4 linked regions of the Drosophila melanogaster genome follow. The protein of the gene in region 2 purifies or fractionates together with the protein of the main gene of each other region. This does not show direct contact. Each region holds a gene or a part of one and is shown on either strand. Other genes may lie near its edges.

The links.
Region 1: the proteins of cert (region 2) and CG10494 purify together in Drosophila melanogaster (affinity purification with mass spectrometry, with the first as the bait; one large-scale study listed by BioGRID). This does not show direct contact.
Region 3: the proteins of cert (region 2) and CG1603 purify together in Drosophila melanogaster (affinity purification with mass spectrometry, with the first as the bait; one large-scale study listed by BioGRID). This does not show direct contact.
Region 4: the proteins of cert (region 2) and CG1513 purify together in Drosophila melanogaster (affinity purification with mass spectrometry, with the first as the bait; one large-scale study listed by BioGRID). This does not show direct contact.

What each region holds. Positions count from the first base shown.
Region 1 is NT_033778.4:21,516,625-21,520,986, reverse strand, and holds CG10494 (uncharacterized protein), read left to right. Parts: upstream 1-1,861; 5' UTR 1,862-1,981; coding exon 1,982-2,057; exon of another isoform or gene 2,058-2,061; intron 2,062-2,116; coding exon 2,117-2,530; intron 2,531-2,589; coding exon 2,590-3,006; intron 3,007-3,065; coding exon 3,066-3,730; 3' UTR 3,731-3,832; downstream 3,833-4,362. Other genes in the region: CG30289 (uncharacterized protein), read left to right, coding at 1-376; CG30288 (uncharacterized protein), read left to right, coding at 618-843, 906-948, 1,006-1,172, 1,240-1,652.
Region 2 is NT_037436.4:8,283,866-8,291,812, forward strand, and holds the start of cert (ceramide transfer protein), read right to left. Parts: upstream 6,006-7,947; 5' UTR 5,848-6,005; intron 5,619-5,847; 5' UTR 5,584-5,618; coding exon 5,305-5,583; intron 4,356-5,304; coding exon 3,963-4,355; intron 3,893-3,962; coding exon 3,744-3,892; intron 3,510-3,743; coding exon 3,449-3,509; intron 2,605-3,448; exon of another isoform or gene 2,328-2,604; coding exon of another isoform or gene 2,262-2,327; intron 429-2,261; coding exon 204-428; intron 140-203; coding exon 1-139. Other genes in the region: CG7201 (uncharacterized protein), read right to left, coding at 6,719-6,992, 7,049-7,460, 7,529-7,880.
Region 3 is NT_033778.4:7,513,327-7,518,191, forward strand, and holds CG1603 (uncharacterized protein), read right to left. Parts: upstream 3,065-4,865; 5' UTR 2,939-3,064; coding exon 2,642-2,938; intron 2,581-2,641; coding exon 2,317-2,580; intron 2,257-2,316; coding exon 1,894-2,256; intron 1,838-1,893; coding exon 1,001-1,837; 3' UTR 520-1,000; downstream 1-519. Other genes in the region: CG1602 (uncharacterized protein), read right to left, coding at 3,688-4,641, 4,699-4,865. UniProt on the Drosophila melanogaster protein: Chromatin-binding protein involved in the organization of active promoters and insulators. Essential for the activity of heterochromatin promoters; primarily binds to specific motifs within promoters of housekeeping genes.
Region 4 is NT_033778.4:9,888,674-9,893,223, forward strand, and holds the start of CG1513 (uncharacterized protein), read right to left. Parts: upstream 3,017-4,550; 5' UTR 2,730-3,016; coding exon 2,562-2,729; intron 2,469-2,561; exon of another isoform or gene 2,407-2,468; coding exon of another isoform or gene 2,072-2,406; intron 2,014-2,071; coding exon of another isoform or gene 1,767-2,013; intron 1,708-1,766; coding exon of another isoform or gene 1,614-1,707; intron 1,488-1,613; coding exon of another isoform or gene 1,379-1,487; intron 1,323-1,378; coding exon of another isoform or gene 1,307-1,322; exon of another isoform or gene 1,205-1,306; intron 1,063-1,204; coding exon 934-1,062; intron 813-933; exon of another isoform or gene 452-812; coding exon 215-451; exon of another isoform or gene 142-214; coding exon 64-141; exon of another isoform or gene 49-63; coding exon of another isoform or gene 1-48. Other genes in the region: CG12923 (uncharacterized protein), read left to right, coding at 1-48; CG30008 (uncharacterized protein), read left to right, coding at 1,307-1,322, 1,379-1,487, 1,614-1,707, 1,767-2,013, 2,072-2,406; tea (telomere ends associated), read left to right, coding at 3,436-3,860, 3,915-4,229, 4,283-4,550.

The sequences.
Region 1 (4,362 bases), on a different chromosome or scaffold from region 2:
GGATATATCATACTGTAACATTAAGTTCAACAAACAGGCTGATCGATCGCAGATATGTGCTGGCAGTCATACCAGTAACACCTGTAAGGGCGATTCTGGAGGCCCATTGAGCTCGAAATTTCATTATGGCAACAGGCTTCTGAGTTTCCAGTACGGCTTGGTCAGCTACGGATCCGAAAGGTGCGCGGCTAATGTGGCAGGTGTTTACACCAATGTATCGTACCACAGGGAATGGATATTTAATAAAATGGTTCAATTCAAACCTACAGGTCATACTACCTTTTGGTTATCCAAGCTCGTAGGCCAAACTTGTAACATAACAGACATAATAAGGAATATAGAACTAATGTATAACAGAATTGTATATGAAAATTAATTAATATTCGACAAAATGGCAGGGCAACGCATCGAAGTTCGAAATATATTAAAGTTCAAGAGATTTAATTAAAAAAAAAAAATCTTGTCATTAATTGAAAATAAACGATGTCACATTCAAATCGATTGTAAAAATTGTATTAGTATTTTTTCTGAATAAATCACTTCTTATCTCTGCCGTTTGCCGAAGAACAAGCATAAAAATAGAAACCGATGCCATTCGAATTTAGTCTCTGAACAAGATGCGTCTACCTATACGGCAGCTTGTGATAGTAGCCTGTCTTTTTATTGGGATTATCCGGACGGAATCCGGACGCTTACTGGAAAACGACTGTGGAACCACGAGCAGTAATGGTTATAGAGCGCGAATCGATGGAGGTAGAGATGCTGGCATGGAATCGAATCCCTGGATGGTCAGAGTAATGATTTCGGGAAAAGCAGTGTGTGGCGGTTCACTTATAACTGCTCGTAAGTATTTGGAATTGATAATAAGAAATATATACTCAAATTATCATTGTATGTTCATTTAGGATTTGTTTTGACCGCCGAGCATTGCATTTCCCCAATGTATATGTGAGTGCATACCATACTATTACTACACATTTGATCCTCAAAATGACCTTTTTTAAGGAATGTGCGCCTGGGCGAATACGATACCCGACATCCCATATTCGACTGCGATGATTTTGTCTGCACACCAAGGGCCTACAATGTGGACGTGGATAGGAAAATTGTTCATAGTAATCCAGGATATGATATTGGTCTGTTGCGAATGCAAAGGAGTGTGATATTCTCAAGTAAGTGCATTTCGCTATCAAAAGTTTCTTGGGAACTAAATATGTAACTAACTAAAGTTCGCCATAGACTATGTCAGACCAATCTGCTTGATTCTGGGCAAAACGTTGGGTGGGAACCCACTCTCAATATTACGCTTCAATTTCACCGGATGGGGTACAAATAGTGATGGAGAAGAGCAAGATAGGCTACAGACTGCCACCCTGCAACAATTACCTCAATGGAGTTGTGAAAGACCTGGAAGACCTCTCGATATATCCTATATATGTGCCGGCAGTTATATCAGTGATTCGTGCAAAGGCGATTCGGGAGGTCCTTTGAGCGCAATTCGTACATTTGAGGGGCAGGGAAGGGTCTTCCAGTTCGGTGTCGCTAGCCAAGGACTTCGGTTGTGCAGTGGCTTGGGAATTTACACCAATGTCACACACTTTACGGACTGGATATTGGATGTTATTCAAAACCATTCAGACGACTTTGAATGAGATCAAAATATGTTGCTTAATAACAATATAATGTTTTAGCGTATATATTTTGGCTATCAATATCATAGTTTCTTGTTGGTTTTGGTTTTTTTTTTCAGATTGTAGGCTATTTCTACATTTAACATACATATTCCTTACATGAAACATACATTCGAGCAGAATGTATGGTACGGCCGCATCGATGCCGATAACGATAGGTAGCTTAACGCGTCCTACTATCGATGACAGTTTTGTTATTGTTATGATTTGATCAAGCTAAAAAAAAACCGATCAAATATAAATATATATTTATTGATTTCATTGCGCGATTTAAGCATAACCATTTGAAAATGAGCAAGTTCTCGCTCTTCAATGGCAACGATGAGGACGAGCACGAAACGGAGCAGAAATACGCACACCTTATGAGTGGGTAAGCAGCGTCCTCAGCCGGTTCGATGTTACCAAATCCTTACTTTTCGTAACAGATCTGGGAAATGCGAGTCACTCGGTGTCGGAAAATAGTTCTGGGAAAGCGAGTCGCTGCAAGTGGACCAGCGCAAAGGTGGAGACCTTTCTGGAAATCATTCACCAACTTAAACTGCAAGCTGCTCTTCGAAGGCCGCGAAGCAATGCAAAGGTGTTTCGTATGGTGTCCAGAGAAATGGCCCGGCGGAACTGCCCCAAGAGTCCAAAGCATCTGAGAGTCAAGTTCCATCAGATGCGGCGTCAGTATGCGAGAGCTCGGAATGGCGGCGAACCATTCGAGCACTTTGAGGCGGTGCACGAGTTGATGCAGGGAGAAGATGTATCTGATCTGGATGAAGAGGCGCTAGAGAGTGACAGCGATATGGAGGCCGACGAGGACCAGTCCGGCATGATCTCAGAAACCGAAGGGGACGGTAGGTGCCACCGGGCAGGAATGTATTGGAATACGAACTTAGGCGACTTTCCTTCGCAGATGCTTTGGATGCCTCAGGATCTTCAGTTAACATCGTCGCCCGCTGCAAGTGGGCAGAGGGCGAAGTGGACCTCCTCCTAGACCTGATCCACACACTTGGACTGCGAGCAGCTTTGCTGCAAAAGCGCAATGCCAAGGTCTTCAAGCTGCTGTCCAAGGAGATGGCAAAACGCAACTGCCACAAGGGTGCTGAGAAGCTGCGCATCAAGTTCCAGCAGCTGCGGCGATTGTACAACAAGGTCAAGAACGGCACGGGGAAAACGTTCGAGCATTTTGAGGCGATGCGACTGGTCCTGGATCCCACCGAAGAGGAGGCGGCCGCAGATGCTGAAGCGGAAGCCCATCTGAGCAGCGCAAGCGATAGTGATTTCAATGACAGTGACGAGGAAGAGGGTGATGCATCACAGAGAAGCGGAGGTAGATATTATAATAGCTAGTTCCTATTCCATATTTAATTAAATTCCTATGTTCCTTAGCGCACTTTTGGACAGACGAAGAGGTTGATTCGTTTCTACTCATCATTCGGGACAATGGTTTCTTTCGCGCCTTGGATGGCTCAAGGAAGCGCAACTTCCAGACCCTGGTGCACATTTCCAACATCCTGGCTAAGCAGGACATCAAACGCACGCCACACCAGCTGCGCAATAAACTAAGGCTGCTCTGCAAGCGTCATCGAGAGGCCAAGGAGCACGGGCTAGATAATGTACGCATTCTGCCTCGCCACTTTGAGCTTTTCGATGAACTGATTCAGGCGCCGCGGGAGAACAGAGAAAGTGCCATCAGCAGGCTCATTCGCATCAGCAAGCCTTCCTTTCTCAAGCCGCCAGGCAAACCAAGCGTTCCGCTGGAAAGTGACAGCGACAACTCCAGCTCCACCTGCGATCTCCTAAGAGCGGCAGCCGATAGCGAGGACTACGTGGACGCCATCGAGATGGAGGCTGAACCAACGCCGATTGAAGCACTCACTGCAATCATAGAAGGTCAAAAGCAGCTGCTTGCGCAGATCAAAACTACCAACGAAAGCTTCTTGCGGCAGCAACGCGAGCAGCAGCATCAATTTTTGGAACAAGTATCGGAACTGATGCATCGAGATCGAGAGGAGACCCTGCGCAGGATCAGCGAAATGCTGCAACCGAAGTAATGGAAACATAGAACTCAAGCTTCTAAAACTTTTATTGAATTGAATTCGAAGTTATTGCAAAAAGTTGTCATTATTTATATATATTATATGTATGTATTCTATATTCAATATCGTGTGTGTGTGTGTATCCTGTTTTTGTGACAGTGTCCTGTGTCTAGAATTTATTCCTCATTCATTGTGAACAGAATGTTGGTTTGAAGTTACTCGCAATTCGCAATTGTCTACGATTTATCTAGGGTTTTGTATAAGTATATACGTAATTTTGAGAGATTTTTCGTTTTTTATTTGATATGCTACATTGTTATTTTTTGGGATTAAGTTAACAGTTGGATTCGTTTTAGGTTTTAACATTAAGCGAAAATGCTCGTTAGTTTTTAGTTTTTGTTCTGCTTGTGTCATCTGTATACACATATGTATATATTTTGTATATTGTTCGGTTTACAACAACTAAGCAAGCTCGTCATAAAATATGTGTTGCACTCCAAAAAAAAAAACAATGTAATCAATTGGGCATAGAAAACTAAACTGCTGTTGCTGATCTGAACCGATCTGGCTTGATATATATACGTGTATGTTCGTTACGTTACGCTCAGGCACAAAGTGTAAATTACAAATATCTCTCCGCATCTCGA
Region 2 (7,947 bases):
CCATGACCAGCCCGTTGACCTCCTCCTCGCGTTTGTACATTTTGATCTCCCCCTCGTCGGCAAAGATTTGCCAGCCGTTGCCGTCTTGGCCAACGCCCTCGCGTGCGTAATGCAGTTGCTCCTTGCACACGCGATCGATCTGCGGGATAAATCCAATTATTGGCTGGTCGTTAGGGGGCCAGATTGGCAATTTCCGGTCTTACCTCCGGCCACAGGGCATGGCTGGTGGCCTCCGCACCCGTGCCGAACTCCTCGCGCGCCTCCTCGCCCTCGGCCACCGCCTCGTGTGGAACGTTGACCAGTGTCTGGGAGATCTGGGACTGCAGCTTAAGCTTGAAGCGCAGCTGCATGTCCTCCTCGATTTTGTCCAGGCCCGTTTCGACCGCATCGAAGAACTCATCCTCGGGCAATGTGGAATGTGGACCCTCCTGCGAAATTGAAAGGGAAATGTCATATTATACATATATCTCCATTAGCATCGAGCAAACTAAGTCAAGTTTAGCCCAAAAGCATCTTTGAAGGTTCGGCCTAATTAATTTTAATGACGAAACCGCATTCAATCCAATTGGAAAGAAATGGAACGTGCTTTGTATAAATTAATCGCCGACACTTGTGCGGCCAAATGGCCCAAGAAAATCAAATTTATGCTGTTGTTTTTTCGCCCATTCCATACCCTGACCAGTCGCCAGGCGGAGATTCTCGTAGTCGGCTGGCATGCGTAATTGGGCGAGCATAATGGACACAAAGGCGCATCATTGTGCCATGAATACGAAAGCAGAAGACCGCCAGACGGGGCTTGGTACTTGGTACTGAATCCCATTAAAGCAGTGGCATCTCGTGGGGAAAAACCACCAATAAGCTACACAATAATACTGCCGAAATTTAATTAAGTTGATAAATTTGCCATTTATAAAATTCTTTTCCTCCTAACAATGTGTTTCGAATTTCGCAACAGAGTTTACCAAATTGCTACTGTAATATACAAACAAAATCATAATATTTTGAGAGTATTTAGAATATTATGCTGAAATTAGGATTGATATATAGGAAAAGTGTCCCTTGAAGTTCGGCCCTTTAGAGGTATACATCCGCTCCATTCTGTGCTAGCCAGTGTTCACTGTACACATTCTGACGTCTGCGACTGGCGCGTGTATCCCCAGAACGGCAACCGGCGCAAAATAAATGCCTCGAATGGAATTTGTGCGGAATTGAATTGATATTTATTAATTAAAGCAGAGATGTGCGCAGCCAAAGGCGGTGAAATAAATACACCCTGCGGCGTGAATTCGAGTGCATAATCATCTTGACCAAGCGGCACTCGCAGCTAACCAACAATGAAGACATGGGCTATATGCGTACTTATTCCTGTGGCGTCGCTATGTCTCCTCTTACCAGGCTCCTCCACCAATTGTTGCAGTTGAACCCAACAAAAGCGAAGAGGTTTTTGGGCGGCAAAAATTAGGCTCCTTCTCAGCAGGAAAAAATCAGGAATCGCACCGCAAGAGAGCCAAAGAGAGAGAGAGAAAGGGTTGCGTGGCAGGCGAAAGCAGGAAAAGTGAGCGCACTTGTGTCCTGGCGAATCCTTCCGTCGAGCACAAGGACACAAAACAAACTGTTGCTGGTGGCCCAAACGCACTGGCCAACTTGGCCAGGATGAGCGGAGCAGAGAGAAGGCCAAAAAAAGAGAGCAGGAGAAAGCGGGCGACTGAGAGTAAAAAGCGAAAAGCGCACAGAGCAAAAAGCTCCAATGGATAGGATTTCTTGCATTTAAATAATAAATCAATTCTTGGGGTTCTTTGGCCACCGCACTTCAAACATTCAACATTCAAAAGCGAGTGGGGTGGCCCACTAATGAGGCCAATTTGGTTAGAAAAAACCAACATCAACATTTTATGAAACTTATTTTAGGCAACATTTCATACACTAAGGAAAAATACCATTATTTTATCAAAGCAATGCTTCCGAACTAATACTTTTATCATAATAAAAAAATATTTGACATTCCACATTCATAGCTGATTAGAAATTTTTCAAAAACACAACGATGTTTGTTAATATTTTTTATCAGCTATATATGCACATAGAAAAAAAATTCAAAATTACTAAAAGTGTTATCAAATTTTATTTGGAGATATATTGAAACGTTTATTGTTTATAAAAGTGATAATACGCCTTGAAATATTTCCATACGAAACACATATTATAAAAATATATTCCACCACTCCTTTATGTAAATTATTTATGATTTTAATTCAGTGTACCTTTATTTTTTTAACGCTGCCCTTCTGAAATCCGCCGGAGCGCCACAGAAATCGCGCCGAGGGCATAGCGTTGACGTTGTTTATAATTTTATAAATTTGTATATTTGTACAGTGATGCGTGCGGCGCTTTTATATTTGCAACATGAACTAGCGATTGCTACAATTGTGTACACTTGTTTATTTATTATAGCTCTTTCAATGCAACGCAAGAAATTTCACAATCTGCACACTCAATTAAATGCCACGACCAATATGAAAAAGAAACAGTCTCGTTTTGAATTGTTTGCCTAGCAAATTTGTTTATAATTGCTACGTGTTGGCCACTCGATCGCTAACCGCCGACTGACCAGCCTAGCTCATAAGCCATAAACCTGACAGCTGTAAGCCAGGCTAAAAGCCACAGCTCAAAAAGTGAGCCGCATATTGAATGCTCTAAGCTTGAACGTATAGTGAAAGATCACGTACATGTTTACTATATATTGTTCACTTAAATCGGGATTTTCTAACAAAATTTTCATATGAAGATCACTGAAGACGTAATAGTTAATATACCCGTTGCACAAAGTGCATTCTAGCCAACGGTTGGATCGTTATTCAACGTCAATATCTGCAATATTGGCTCGAAGTAGATCTTAAGCTACGCCCAACTGTCAAACAGGCCTAATGAAACCGTCTAGACGCCCAGTCTTTCAGCCTGAGTAGTCGCCAAGTAACCGAGCCAAGAATAACAACCAAGTTGAGCACTTACAATTCGTAGGAGAGCATCATTTTTCTAATGCTATTGTGGACATATGCCATTAAAATGGAATTGATTGGGCAAACAAATGTAAGCGGAAAAACGATATTGCATGACCAATTCCAGATTAACACGAACACGGGAACTTCGTGTCAGCCAAAATTCGGAACCAAATACTGGCATTCCATAATCGAATTGAAAACGCTTGAATAATAGTCCAGCGTGTTCTACTTTCCTTGCATATGATGAAATCTCTGACACAACGTCGAATCAGGCAGTTTATTTTAAGACGCCGACAAATCGCACGCAAATCGTTTATACGAATTTCGCGCCACTCATTCGGCGATTGTTTGCATTTTCAGTGGGAACGTGTTTGGCCCCGATTTGAGCAGCAATGACCGTGAATGCGATTACGCTTTTGCTTTTACGAGAGCTGTAAACTTGAACTCACCTCGAAATCTGGGCCAGGATACGATAGACGCTTCATTTTCTCAACTTCATCCTTGAGCTTTCTGCAAAGAAGAAACATAGAATTTTACCATAGTTTTAATATCGTTTAAATGAATAAACTTCAGAAATGAATGTACACATTAAATTTAAATACATTATTAATCCTTTTTTAAATAAATTAAACCATGAAATAGCATGATAATTTTTAAAGAAACGTATGGTTTTCAAGCAAATACAAAAAAGGTAATTGAAATTGCTTCTTCTTGTAGGAATCTATTCCGACTAGGTCAACCTACTTGCTTTGGTCCTCAGAACGTCGACGCTTATCTATTTCACGCTCCAGTTTCCGTTTCCATGACTCATCGCTCTCGGCGATGATTTCTAGGCAATGCTGCAGGGTGGTTAGCACGCCGGACGTTGTGGCCCGAAACGTGATGGATTCGCCCTGAGAAAATCGAGTGTTTTGCTTAGTACACTGTACATATACCAATGGCCCGATAAGTGCACTACTTTACCTTGAAATCGATGGACTTCAGACCGTCGCCCAGGTCCAGTGGTTGCGCATTGTTTTTGTTCACCTCCGAGCAGGCATCAAAGTATCGCTGCAGAGTCTCGATCTGTCCAAATAGTATATCCTTAAAGGTCTCCAGCTCGCCGACTTTTTCGCGCAGGTTGCGCTGCGTCTTCTTTAGGCTTCCTCCGCTGGTCAGCGAGATAGTGTTCGATTGCAGGCTCATGGTACTGCCATGGCGGCGCAAGGAAGTGGTGTCCGTGCTGCCGGAGTCCGCCTTGTACAGCTGCAGCACATCCACCCAGTGCATGCGGTCCTCGCTGGTCTCTGCCCGCAGGCACCAGTTATTTAAGTTGTTCACCACAACATCGAATCGGAGCTCGTCGGACTCATGGGCCTACAAAAGAAAAATAAACTTGAACTTAGTAAAAGGCACAAAATAGGTACAAATAAACGGTTTATCTTACTTATATTTTAAATGAAAATTTCATGCCAGTAATAAGCCAGTTATTAAAACGAAATACAATAAATTCGACGAAAAAAAAACCTAATTAACTTTGAATGGTTGATTATAGCGGAACGCAAATCAGTGGTAAACATGAAATCAACAAGGAAAACACCCGAATACAAGATTATTGTTGGCAAATGGAAATTACAGTGGAACCTGAATGAGTCAAAACACTAAGAGAAATTTGTGAAAATTAATTAAAATTTTAAATGAATCACTTGCAAATAAATCCAATTATTAGTAACTTAAACTACAAGTGAGCTGGTTTCACTGTAAAGTAATCCAAGTAATCCAATCATGATCGATTAAATCGGTGATAATTATTATTTGGATTGTTGGGAAAAATTCTTTGAACTAAATGAGGCTTCAATATCTTTGAATAAGATCAGTGTTCGCAAAGTCAAGGCGAATGAATGGAAGGGCCGCTTCTAGTGAGTCAGCATTGTGTATATGCTTTTGGCAGCTCCTACAGTATAAATAGATAAGTACACACTCATGGCGAAACACCCTCCTAGAACAACACGCCCTCCTGTCAACAGAAGGCCTTCTAGCAGCGCCTAGGTCTGAGGGGTACCCCACTTACATTGATGACTTCAATTTTGGTCTATTTTGGTCGCCCAACGTTAATTGATTGCGCTGCATTGATTGCGTCGCTCGGAATTGGATTGGGAATGGGTGTATTGGCTTGGGAATGGAAACGGAGACCTCAGGTCGCGGTCATCGTTGGTTAATGTGTCGCAAACACATGCGCACACACTCACGCCCATTACTTTTTTATTAGTCCAATTGAAAGCACTTGGGGAAGGAGCTCCACCCTCTCTCTTTTCGGCCGTCCTACCTTAATGGTGGCCTTGGTCAGGCTGATGGCTCCGCGGCACCCGAAATCCGACTCCGATTCGGATTTATAGTAGGAGAGTGTACCATCCTTCAGGACTATGTAGCGTGGCTGCCATCCATAGATGTAGTTCGTCCACTTGCTGAGATAGCCCCTCAGTTCGATACTGTTGTCCAGATACTCCTCCTCCTCGGAGGCATCGCTCTGGGACTGTGATCCCGCCGCTGCCTCATTGCTCGAGGGCGGCGATGCTCCCAGCGACTCCCCAGCGTTCGTGTCCATCCTCTTCCAGCTCCGGAGTTCAACTGCCAAGTTATCTATACAATGAAACGGTTCGGGGGTATCTTAATCAGCAGGTTGCCGCAGAAGATTAAAAATATATTGCGCCACGTCCGCGCAATGTAAACAACTACAATGCCGGCTGGCAATTTGATGGGAGCTCCTATCGTGATAATCCAATTCAATCAGCGATCGCATCGCCTGACTCACAGCACCGCCTTTTCGCGGTTCTGAAGCGCCAGCTGGCCCCCACCCAGGAGCACTCACCTTTCGTTTATTGATTTCCTCGACGATCCGCAAACATCTGTGCAACACGTAATGCTCTGGCTTGTTTGTGGGAGGCTTGGTAAATAAGCGAAGAGAACTCACGACGCTGATGTTTTTTTCGCTGCAAAACCAAAACAAAGCTGACCTAGAGATGGTCTGACGACCGACGGTTCCTTCGATAAGTCGTTACGCTATCGATGTCTTACTCTCGATAGTTGTCAGAAGTGCCTTTTTCTTCTTCTTATAAATACACAAAATTTGAATTTAAATCTTCCCTTTAAAATGAGCAATTAGTTAAGTAATTACATAACTACAAACCGAGCACTAAGTACCGTTAAGTATTATTTTGCTTCATATATTACTTTCACAAAAACATGGAGAGTACCCAAATCTAGCTGCCAGTGTAACCACTTTAATTTGGTTTCAAACTTTGATTTGTAACTGCTGATAGTGCTGTGCAATGCAGGCAGTTGTCGTTTTTGGCGCCAGTTTAAATCTAAAAACGCAATGTTGTACATATCTTGGCCATTATTGCCGTAAGTTGTTATTTGAATGAAAACAATTATAAAGCACCTTTCAAGGGAAATTTATTTTCTATTCATTCGACACGTTTTCATTTGTTGAAAGGAAGGAATTATGCCACAATTTCAATTATTTACAGACCACTAGACAAACATGGATACAAATCTAAGCAATTAACAACGCCTACGACTAACAATAAATACAATGCGTAAATAAAATAAATAATTATAAATTAATTAGTACACGTTAATTACAAGCAAGTGACTTTGAGGACGCGCTCAACTCAATCGTAATCCTAACATCTAGACGAGGTCAACAATAGGGGTTCGCATGGGAGTTGGTCATTGTTCTACATATACACATTGTTGTCCTGATCCCGAGTGGTGGGCAGTTGAATGACCTGCTCCTCATGATATTCGCCCACCGGTCTGTCTGTGGGTTTTGTCTTTTTCGTCTTGCTCGCAGGAGCTGGTTTGCTATACTTGCTGGACAAGGCCTTAAATATACTCTTCGGACAGTCCTTGAAGTAGGGAAAACATTCTCCTGGTGCTTGCTTTCCCTCGCCCACCTCCTGGGCTTGTACATAGTCGGGTACCAGGTCGGAAAACGGAGATTTGGTTACCCTATAAGAGAGATCTGTGTAACAAAGAATCACGATTGAAAGGAGGAAATTACTCACGTTAAAAATAGCTTTGTCATTTCTCCAAAGACACCGAACTTCTCCAAACTTCGTGAGTGCATCTCACAAATGGTTCTCAGCAAACAGGCCTTGCCATCCATGCCAAAGGTGGATAGAAAGTCCTCCACTACGCCATAGAGCAAAACCCGCTCTCCGCCATGGAAAATATGCTGCAGTCCGGCTGGCAGCTCCGGATACTTTGGACCCTCTTCGTGTATCCTAAAGGGATGATCCTCGTTGCTTCTGCTCCGCTGCTCGCTGAGATCCCTCTTCCTGCGCTGGACATGCAGATACCTCGCCACATATTCACCAACCATGTGGCCTGCCTCGTGACCAAAGGAGCGGGCGAACAGCGGCGGCAGATCCCCCAGAGGATTTTGGTTGTCTGTCAGGCCCAGTTTGTCGAAGTCAACTGTGGATTGAGGCAACAAAAATCAGAGTTAATTGATTAATCATTGACATTGAGAGCTGTCTACGCACTGGTGACGGGAAAACTGATGGTCAGGTTGGAGAAGAATCCCTCGGGCGGATGCCGAACCAGGGGCATGGCAATGGTTGGCACGAATGTCAGCGAAGTGCCCGGCGGCAGGGCCAATCTGCCATCATCCGTAATCCAGATGAGTCGCTTCTTGCGTATGTGCGGCGTATCCGGGGAATCGGCATCGTAATCCGGCCTGGCTTCGGCTTCCGCATCCGCCAGCTGCGCTGCCATATCCAAAGCCTGGCCAGCATCCGCCTGTCGATTGAGTGCCAATGCATTTGGACACAAGCTGACAAGTGGCAGCAGCAGTAGGAGGAGCAGGCGACTGCATCGCCTTAACACCTTCTCCATGGTCACGTTGAGTGATGAGTGCTGAGATGGTAATAAAAAATTGTTATTGCAAAGGTGGAGAAACAGC
Region 3 (4,865 bases), on a different chromosome or scaffold from region 2:
TCACTCCGCACGCGTAAAATGGAGAGCGTAAATTTCTTAAAATAGAATGTACTTCCTTGTGTGTGTTAAAACAACAAACGAGAAAGTGTATATGAGCATACTTGTGCTAGAAAACTTTCGTCTCGAAATCAATTTTGATCTCAGAAACGAAGGTACATACATACATATTTAAAGTTTTGGTCAAAGCTTGTTGCAATACGATCTACTACAGAGTTATTTAAAATTTAATGCCTTGACTATTCTTTTAAGAAGAGTTGTTATTAATTAAATACCGCTTATTTATTTTTGCTTATAATTAAAAATATTTAAAATTGCACTGACGACATACTTCAACAAGGGTCTATGAGCAGTATCTTGTACCGTATAAAAATTATTTTCATCATTATTTAAGCTAATAAACTAAATAAAGTCTTAAATCGTTATTATAACTATTGTAATTAAAAATATAAATTTGGCAAAAAGGAAAATACATTTAAAAAAATATATTTCATAAAAGAAATATAAATACATTGTTAAAAATGAATATATATAAAATTTTGTACACGTCATTTGATCAAAAATAATAATAATAGAGCTGCTAGCTCTAGAGCTCTCCGCTCTCTGACTTTTGAACAAAAACTCGGGAGAGCCTCAAGCCAGCTCTAGATCTAGAGCCAGAACCAAAAAATCATATGTTATTCTAATATCTCCTCTACAAGTAACGGTTATACAAATTTATCTTAAAACGAACTTATTTTTCCGGCTTCTTCTTTTTTTTATGAATAATACATTCCTTAAACCAAATTTTGAAAAGGAAAGTATGAAAAAGGAAAAGCTTGTGCATATGATTATCATACACATGTTCTTATCAAATACACAAAAGCCGTAAGTGCTTAACAACACGCTTGTTATTATCACTACTCTAACGTAAGTTTATTCTTGATTTACATCAAATGAAGCTTACTGATTCTCGTTATCAAAAAATAAAGCAGTTTCTAAAAATGTCCCTCAAGGCGAGAGTTCATTCCGATCTGTGGCTGCGGCGATGTCTGGAAAGCGAAGAATGGTCATAGAACGTAGCATCACAGTACTCGCACTTCTTATCACGGATATTCAGATGTCCTTTGATATGGTTGGCCAGCTCGAACTTCTTGCGGAAGGTTTTGGTGCACATATTGCAGCTGTAGGGTCTAATGTTCAGGTGAACTCCGTTGACGTGGTGGTCCAGGAGTAGCTTGAGCCGGAATGTCTTGCCGCAGATGTCACAGACGTGAGGCCGCTCGCCCGTGTGGATTAGTGTGTGCACCTTTAGGTCGGTATCCACGGCGAACGATTTTTCGCAGTACTGGCACTTCAACTTGCGTTCGAAGTGGGAACGCAGCTTGTGACGGTCCATGTCTACGTGGCGGTCGAAGCGCCTCGGGCAGAACGAGCAGAGGTACGGTAGGTCGCCCACCTCGTGCGCCTTGACGATGTGCACCCGTAGGTTGTAGTCGCCGTGGAAACGTTTATCGCAGTAGTCACAGTACAGCACCTGACTTTCGGAACCCTTGGCGGGCAAGAAGCTGCACATTTGCAGATACTGAACCTCTTGCTTGCTGCACTTCTGAATTAGTTCCTTGGATTTGAGGCGACGAATGGCATCGTAAAGCCAACGGCGCAGCTTGTTGACCGCAATGTAAACGTCCGTTTCGTTGGCCTTCACCACTGGCTGGAATTCCTTTGCCATTCTTTTGAAGGCATCTGCACGTATCTCTATTGAGCCAAAGTCTGGCAACGCTTGATTATACAGCACGGGATAGTTGGCATAGGTCTCTATGAATGAGGTGGTTATCAGGTTTTCCTCCTTAAAATTAAGCTGAAAAAAGGATTTTTGGTCAGAAAAGAGCTACATTATAGTGGGCTAGTTATTACCTTAATTGCAGTCAAGTCGTTGTCCTCCTCGTTCTCCCTTGGCGTTACAACAGGCGCCACACTGAGGAACTCGCACTTGGCAAAGTAACGCGCTGCAAGTCCAACAAGCTTTCCCCTTTGTTTTGTCTCCAAAGCCAGCGTGTACTGCACGTGCAGTTGCTCGAGCGTTTTCTTCAGTTCTTCCACGGTGAAGAGAACATTGGCCTTGCGGTCCATGCGTTCCATTATCGCCTCGTAGGCCATGCTTCGTGCAGGCTCGTCCTGGTAGTGTTCATCGGAAGGGTTCCACAGGCAGGGATGCTCTTTGTACGCTTGGATCAAATGCAGCACACGGGGATTGCTCCGAATAAACGAAACTTTGAACTGAATGACGCCGTTAAGTGGAATGAATTTCAGCTTAAGTGAAATATACTACGTACTAACCTTGAAAACCTGTCCTGGTCTTGTTCGCCTGGGCGGACGTCCAGGTTTTCTAGGAGGTGCCAAGTCATCCTCAGACATAAAGAAGTCACTACAATCAACATCATCATCGTCTGTGTTTAGGGGTATGTGATTTTGGGAAGACTCGTCCATTTGTGTGACTTCCTTTCCGGCTGGAAGTTCCAAAGAGCTGCCGCCTGGACCGAACTCCCAGGAATTGTTTGTAGCTGCAGACCAAGCGGTGGCGTCTTCCTCGTACTGGATATCCTGCGGTCAACGAGAGCTCACTTATTTGACCACCCTTGGTAAGCGAGTGAAAGAGTCTTACCTTGCTATCAGCTTCCATCCATTGATCGACCCCATTGCTGTTTTCGATCACCTCGAAGAACTCATCCGGCCCATAGGCGATGGCTGGGTCCGCCGCGTCAACGACGCTGTATAGCTCCTCGGTATCCTCTTTGATTTCATTAATCCTAACGTCCTCGTCTTCGCAGTAGTGCGCCGATTTCACATGGACGATGAACAGCTCCCAATCCTTCAGCTCGCTCTCTATGCTGCAGTAGAGGCATTTCAGCCGGAACATCTCGTACTTGGAGTTGGTCATCACATTGCCGCACAGCTCCATGCTTACGTTGTGCGCTCTGATCTGACTTCAGCTTGAAAAATGTTCCTTTTCTGAAAATATATTCGTTTATTTAAGGTAACAATTTTTTTATGCGTTTGGGACTGTGTTGGACAACGACTGAAATAATTATGTATCGATAGACTATTCGATAAAAATCTATTTTTAAAATAATATTTAAACACAATTTTATGAAGGCTTAAAAGAAAACGTTTTAACAACTGTTGGTGGTGCTTAAAAATGATTAAAAATCTGCATTTCATGAATGAATCTTTAAAGTAACTAGTACATTTCAATTTTCGAAAAAAAATGTTATAAAATTCTAGTACTAACCATTTGGAAAAATCAAAATCAATCAAGCTTATTTGTTGAGAAATTATATTTTTTTTGTCATATCGATAGAAAATAGCGAGACAAATATGAACAGGAAAACACCAAAACGTTTTTCAAATGTATGGGCGTTACAGTTGTCGGCGCCTTGTGGGCGTGCCAACATTTTGGAAAAAATAGCGCAGCGTAGGCAGGGGAATGTGTTTAGGCTTTTAGATGTACATCCCCAGATTTCGACAGATGGACATGGCCAGATAATGTAGAATTTATATTCTTAATTATTAATATACATTCTTAAACCGTTATATAAATAAATTTGTTTAAACATATTGTTTCACTCTCATTTGTGTATTTTTATTTCCCCCCATTTGCAAAAGATTGCCTATTTATAAACTGTCATTTTATTGCAAATTTAATCAAATTCAGTTCTCTGCATCCACAGCATCTTTACCCTTTTGTGAATTATTACGAAGAATGTTGTGGGTGCGCTTCATGTGCGTATTAAGACCCACAAACTGGGAGAACCTGGAGTCGCAGAGTTTGCACACAAACTTCTTCACCTCGGAGTGAATCTGCCGGTGTCGGATGAGTGCATGGCAGCTGGTGAATCCCTTACCGCACACACTGCAGATTTTGTCGCGGATGTTTAAATGGCCCTTGATGTGATCCGATAAGTCGACCTTTTTCACAAAGTCTTTGGGACACATGGTGCACTTGAAGGCTCTGATCTTCGTGTGAATAGCCGTGACGTGGAGCGTCATTTGGGACCGCAGTCGGAAGGCCTTGCCGCAATGCTCGCAGACGTAAGGCTTGTGGCCAGTGTGCGTACGGATGTGCAGCTGCAGGTCCGACATCACAGCGAATGAACGCTCACAATGGGTGCACTTGTGGGTCTTGCCGATATGGACCCGCTGTATGTGATTAGCCAGCTCGCAACGTCCCACAAAACTTCGGTCGCACAAGGTGCATTTGAAGGGCAGCTCGCCGATGTTGTGCGCCTTGAAGATGTGCGACTGCAGGACATGATCCGAGGACGTAATCTGGTGGCAAAATTCGCAGACCAGCCGCTGCTTGTACATCTTTGCAGGCATGAACCGACACACCTCTAGGTAGAACTTCTCGGCTGTACTTCCGGCATAAATGGCATGCTTAGTGTTCTTGTAGTACCATTGGCGGAGATTCTGGATGGCGCGGAATATGTCATCGCTGTTGATGTCCACATTGGGCACTGAGATTTCCGCAGCCATGCTCTCGTATGCCTGTTTTCGAGAGCTCATATTGGAGAACTCCTTGTGGTTGGAGTCGTATAGCTGCGGAAAGTTTGCGTACATCTCTATCAGGTCGGTAGTCAGCTTGTTTTTCTTGGAGAAATCAAGCTGCGGGCAAAGTATGCTTGTTAACAATTTCAATTTGAATTAATTCAAATATCTTGCCTTAATTTTTTCGTTATTCGTAGCCCCTTCTTCATCGTTGCTAGCGTTCAAGAAGCAACACAATTTGTATATACTGAAAGCCAGCGATTGAGGTTTCTGTTTTCCAGACACCACCCGCTTGTGCACGGTGTTGAACTGCATGTGGACTTTCTTGATGGCCAGCTTTA
Region 4 (4,550 bases), on a different chromosome or scaffold from region 2:
GAACTCCACCTGGAGGTTGTAGTTACTGAGTCCGAGGGAAACGTGTAACCTCTGCTTACTTACATTTGCGTTGTCCTGGAGTGCCTTGCACTTAGACTGCTCCGCCGGATCGGTCAGCTCCGCGATGCGTTTGTCCAGTAACTGGGCAGGACAGAGAACAAGAAAAAATGACAATAAATTGCATAATGCCTGCATTACGTGGCACAATACTCACGTTCGTTTGCTCAATCATCAGCTGGAGGTAGGCATCTGCCTCGGAAACACGGCGCGCCACCAACTCCAGGTGGTTGGGTCTTCTGCCGCCTGTTCCGCTCCCGCCCCCTTCCTTCGTGTAGCCACCGGCGATGTAGAAAGCGCTTTGGCTGTCCCACAGACGCGACCGGTTCGCGTGGCGTCGAATGGTGTCCTCCAGGCGGCGCACCCACTGCTCCCGCTCCTCGTTGTGTCGCGCCTGCAAGCGTTTGGAAAGTTGGCAAGTTTAGTGGGCTCCTTTGCTTGTGTATGGGTATTGGAAAAAGTTTTATCGTTACATCAAGGCAACAAAGTCAAACAAAAGGTGGAACGTGAGGACCAGACAGTGGTTTCTGGGTCGATGCCCGGATACCCTTTTCCGGTAAGAGGACGAAAACTCTTGGCAAGCAAAGCGGATAGGCCATCATGCTTGCTTTATATCTTTTGGGACGAAAACGCGAATTGCAAAAAGAAACGTGCTGCCCTCTTGATCTACATAGTTTTTGCTTACGTATACCACTAGACGTCATAAAAAATCAATGCAAGTGTGGAATTTAAAATGAGTTGGTTCTTCAGTTCATAAAACAAACAACGTCGTACTTAAACTATTACGGTGAATTATGAACTATTAGTGAAACTGCAAAACATTGATCAAGCTTTCCTTAGACAATCTTTATTTCCATTTACTAAGGAGACACTTACCTGAAAGTGGAAGGTCTTATGGTCCACAGTGATTGTGAATGTGTTGTCCTCCTGGTCGTCGATTCCGATTAGCGCATCCTTTAAACGAACACAACCGCGCCTCACGCCCTTTATCATCTTATCCTTCGACTGTAACAGAAATGCAGTCGGAATTAGGAAAGTTCATTAAATCGCAGCTCATACTGTCAAAGGGCTATTACGCCTGCTATAAATTAATGTATTCTAATCAATGCTTGGGGAATATAAAAACAGTGTTCGGCGTGCTGTTCACGCTTAAATGTTCGCCAGCGGTCAAGGCGGTAGAGCTGCAGTCCACCAGTCCCACGCCACCTAAAGGATACAGGCCAGCGGAAGCTCAACACAAAGAAGCGAAATGGAGGCGTCAGCAAGTGAGCTCCTCTTGGATTTGTCAAAAAACTGTCTGATGGTTTCAATAAAATTGTAGGTATAAATTTGCAGCCGGTGGTGAACGTTCCTACGATTTATAAGGATCCCTGGTACATGATCACAGTGCTGGTCCTCTATCTGTACTTCGTCACCAAAGCGGGTCCGCAGTAAGTTCACATGCTAATGTCAGCGTCGCTTGTTTGCATGTGGGTCAGTGGACTTGACATTAGCAATTCAGCGGGTTCGCTGGCTTACTTATATAAGAAAGAAGACCTTTAATACCTCGCTTATAGTTTCATGGAATGGCGCAAACCTTACGAGCTCAAGCGACTTATCTTGCTACATAATTTCATCCAGGTGGTTTCCTGCATATATGCTATCAAAGAGGTGGATATTTATAAATTGTACAGCAGCAGCAGCATCGGCTAATTGCTTTTCTCTCGCAGGTCCTGTACATTACGGACAACACCATATACATCTTTTGGAAGTGCCGCGACATCGGGAGCAGCCCAGAGCTCGTGAGGCGGTACTACAACTTGGCCTACTTTCTCTTCTGGCTGAAGATCTCTGAGCTGATTGAAACCGTGATCTTTGTGCTTCGCAAGAAACAAAACCAGGTGTCCAAGCTGCACATCTTTCATCACTTCTCCACGGTAACGCTGGTCTACGCACTGATCAACTTCAACGAAAATGGTAAGCTAGCCGGCTGCTGGGTGACCGACTATTTTCATAAATGCGTTCAATTGTACAGGTTCTGCTGCTTACTTCTGCGTGTTCTTGAATTCTATCGTTCACGTTATCATGTACTCGTACTACTTTGTGGCGGCAGTGGCGGATAAGACCTTGGTGCAGGCCCTAACTCCAGTGAAGAAGTGCATCACAGTGATTCAGATGACGCAGTTCGTTCTTATCCTCACGCAGGTTGCTTTCCAGCTGGTATTGTGCGGCATGCCGCCCTTAGTGCTTCTCTACTTCACCACCGTCATTCTTGGCATGTTCTACGGCTTTTACGACTTCTATAATAGTGCCTATCAAGCCTCGCAGCGGCGCAAGAGTCAGACCCCTCAGTCAGACTCAAAAAAGTAATCTCCTGTCAACAAATCACGCAATAAAGGGGTACCAACAAGTGTGTATGTGTATCCAAATGTATCTATAGCAGATAAGATAAGGCTGCGGGCCATGAGGAGTTCGTTCTGGGTGCGATATGGGTTTCAGTCAGGAGGTGCACTGCAGCCACTCACCGTGTAATAGGACAGCAGTCCAGCATTCTCGTCCAGAACGAAGAAGCGGTACTGCCAGCCCTTCATCACATTCGTCCACTTGCTTAGCGTGCCCTCCAATGTGCCAGAGCCACCACTCCCGCTCTGGGGGGGTCCCAGGCTGGGGGCACTTCCAGTGGTGCTGGCCATTTGATCCAGCTCCCGTGACACGGCCACCGCCTCCTCCTCCGCCTTTGATCCCTCTGCGTCCTCGTGGCTAAAGGCTTTCCTTGTCCCCGGGCGCGGACCTGCCTCGTTCCCTGAGCTCTTTTCTGTCCAGGAGCTGATGATGACGCAATGTTGCTTCACAACTCGCACCCGCAATCTGTCACAGCCTCAACTCCGCTTGGAATTTGCAAAACAAAGCAAAGCCCTGCCAACTATCGATGTACGTAAACATCGATGATTTTCTAGCCCTCCGAATCGCAGCTCGAGTGTGACCGTGCGGCGACCGCTGGAATATACCACCTACTATACCTAGCACACCTTACAAATTTGGAGTCATTTGGAAAATCATAACATGTAAAATTAGCTAGCTATGAAATTATAACCCTGTTTAAATCAGCACAATAAATAAATAAACAATAAACAATAAAGCACAAAAGTATTAACTGGCTTGTAAAATTTTAAGTAAGTTCGAGTTCTCGTAGTGAAAATATTTAGTCGTTCGCTATCGATAAATATTGTCATTTTGCAGCACAGTCACACTGTGATATTCAGCCTAGTTTATTTCGCGGTATTGAAATGTGATGTTTATGATAAACAACAAATAACGTTACTTGCATAGAACAAGTCGTAAGGTTACTGTGAATCTTTTACATCTTAACATTAAATATTGTTTGATTTCAGGAGCAACATGTATCCAGTGTCCTTTGCGGCATTTCAAAAGTTAATCGTTAATTTGTCTGAAATTGCAAGTGAGTTGAAAACTGCCAATGGAGACAATAGAACGTTGGTCGAGTGGAGCAGATGGTACTACAAAGAGTTCTACCGGAATCCCAGCATACGGGCAAGGTTCCCTGTCAAGGTGGCGCCGTGTCCCAGGCGGACACGCGACAACTTGCTTAAAGTACCGGAGCCAGGAGGAATTTCACAAAACGATGTTGCAAACGTAGCAGCTGCAGGACCATCTCAAGTAGAGCAACCCGAAGTCTTAGTTGAAGGCAGCCAGTTGACGACGCTCGCTGAAACCGCGAAGTCCCATGATGCAGTTGAAGGCGTTGCAGTTGAATGTAAACCATCAGGATCGGAATCTCCAGACGTAATTGTTAATGTGGAGAGGTGGGTAATATTATTTTCGAGCAGAGCAGATTAACCAATTTTGACTCATTTCAGATGTGGCGCCTTCATCTTTCCGGTATCCTTTGATGTATTCCTACAGTGCATCAATAAGATGTTACTGTTCAAAAAAATTGTCAGGAGCATAGAACACTGCCTGGTCCTCTTGTCCGACGATGAGCGTCGTCTTCTTACACTACAAAGGTTCTACAACCGCTTTTACATGTATCCAGAAAAGCGATCCCCTACGAATATCTTCAATGCAACTACAGAAATCCCTTTGGAAAAGTTGCTTGAATCTGGGAAACCACTGGACAAAAAAGCGGTCAAGACTGTGGCGGAGCTTACTGCAATGAAATCCCTTACGAAAAAGTAAGTTTGGGACACTTTCCAAATACTCGTTGTTTACTATAAATATTTCACAGTTCCATCGTCAGCTTCGAGGTATTTAAGAAAAATATGGCAAACTTATCGGACATTGTGGAGCAAATGAGGCAACTGGATGCTAATTATGCGAGCAAGGATGTCCAGGAATGTGCCCTTGACTATTACCTGGCGTTTTACATTACTCCGAGGATCCGATATAAATACGCATACAAATTAAAACCTTGCACGTCGACTTTCAAGGCCTGCATGCTGTCCATTCTCGGCAAAGATATTGCCGAAAAGCTTAGGAAAAGCCTCCCTCAGTTA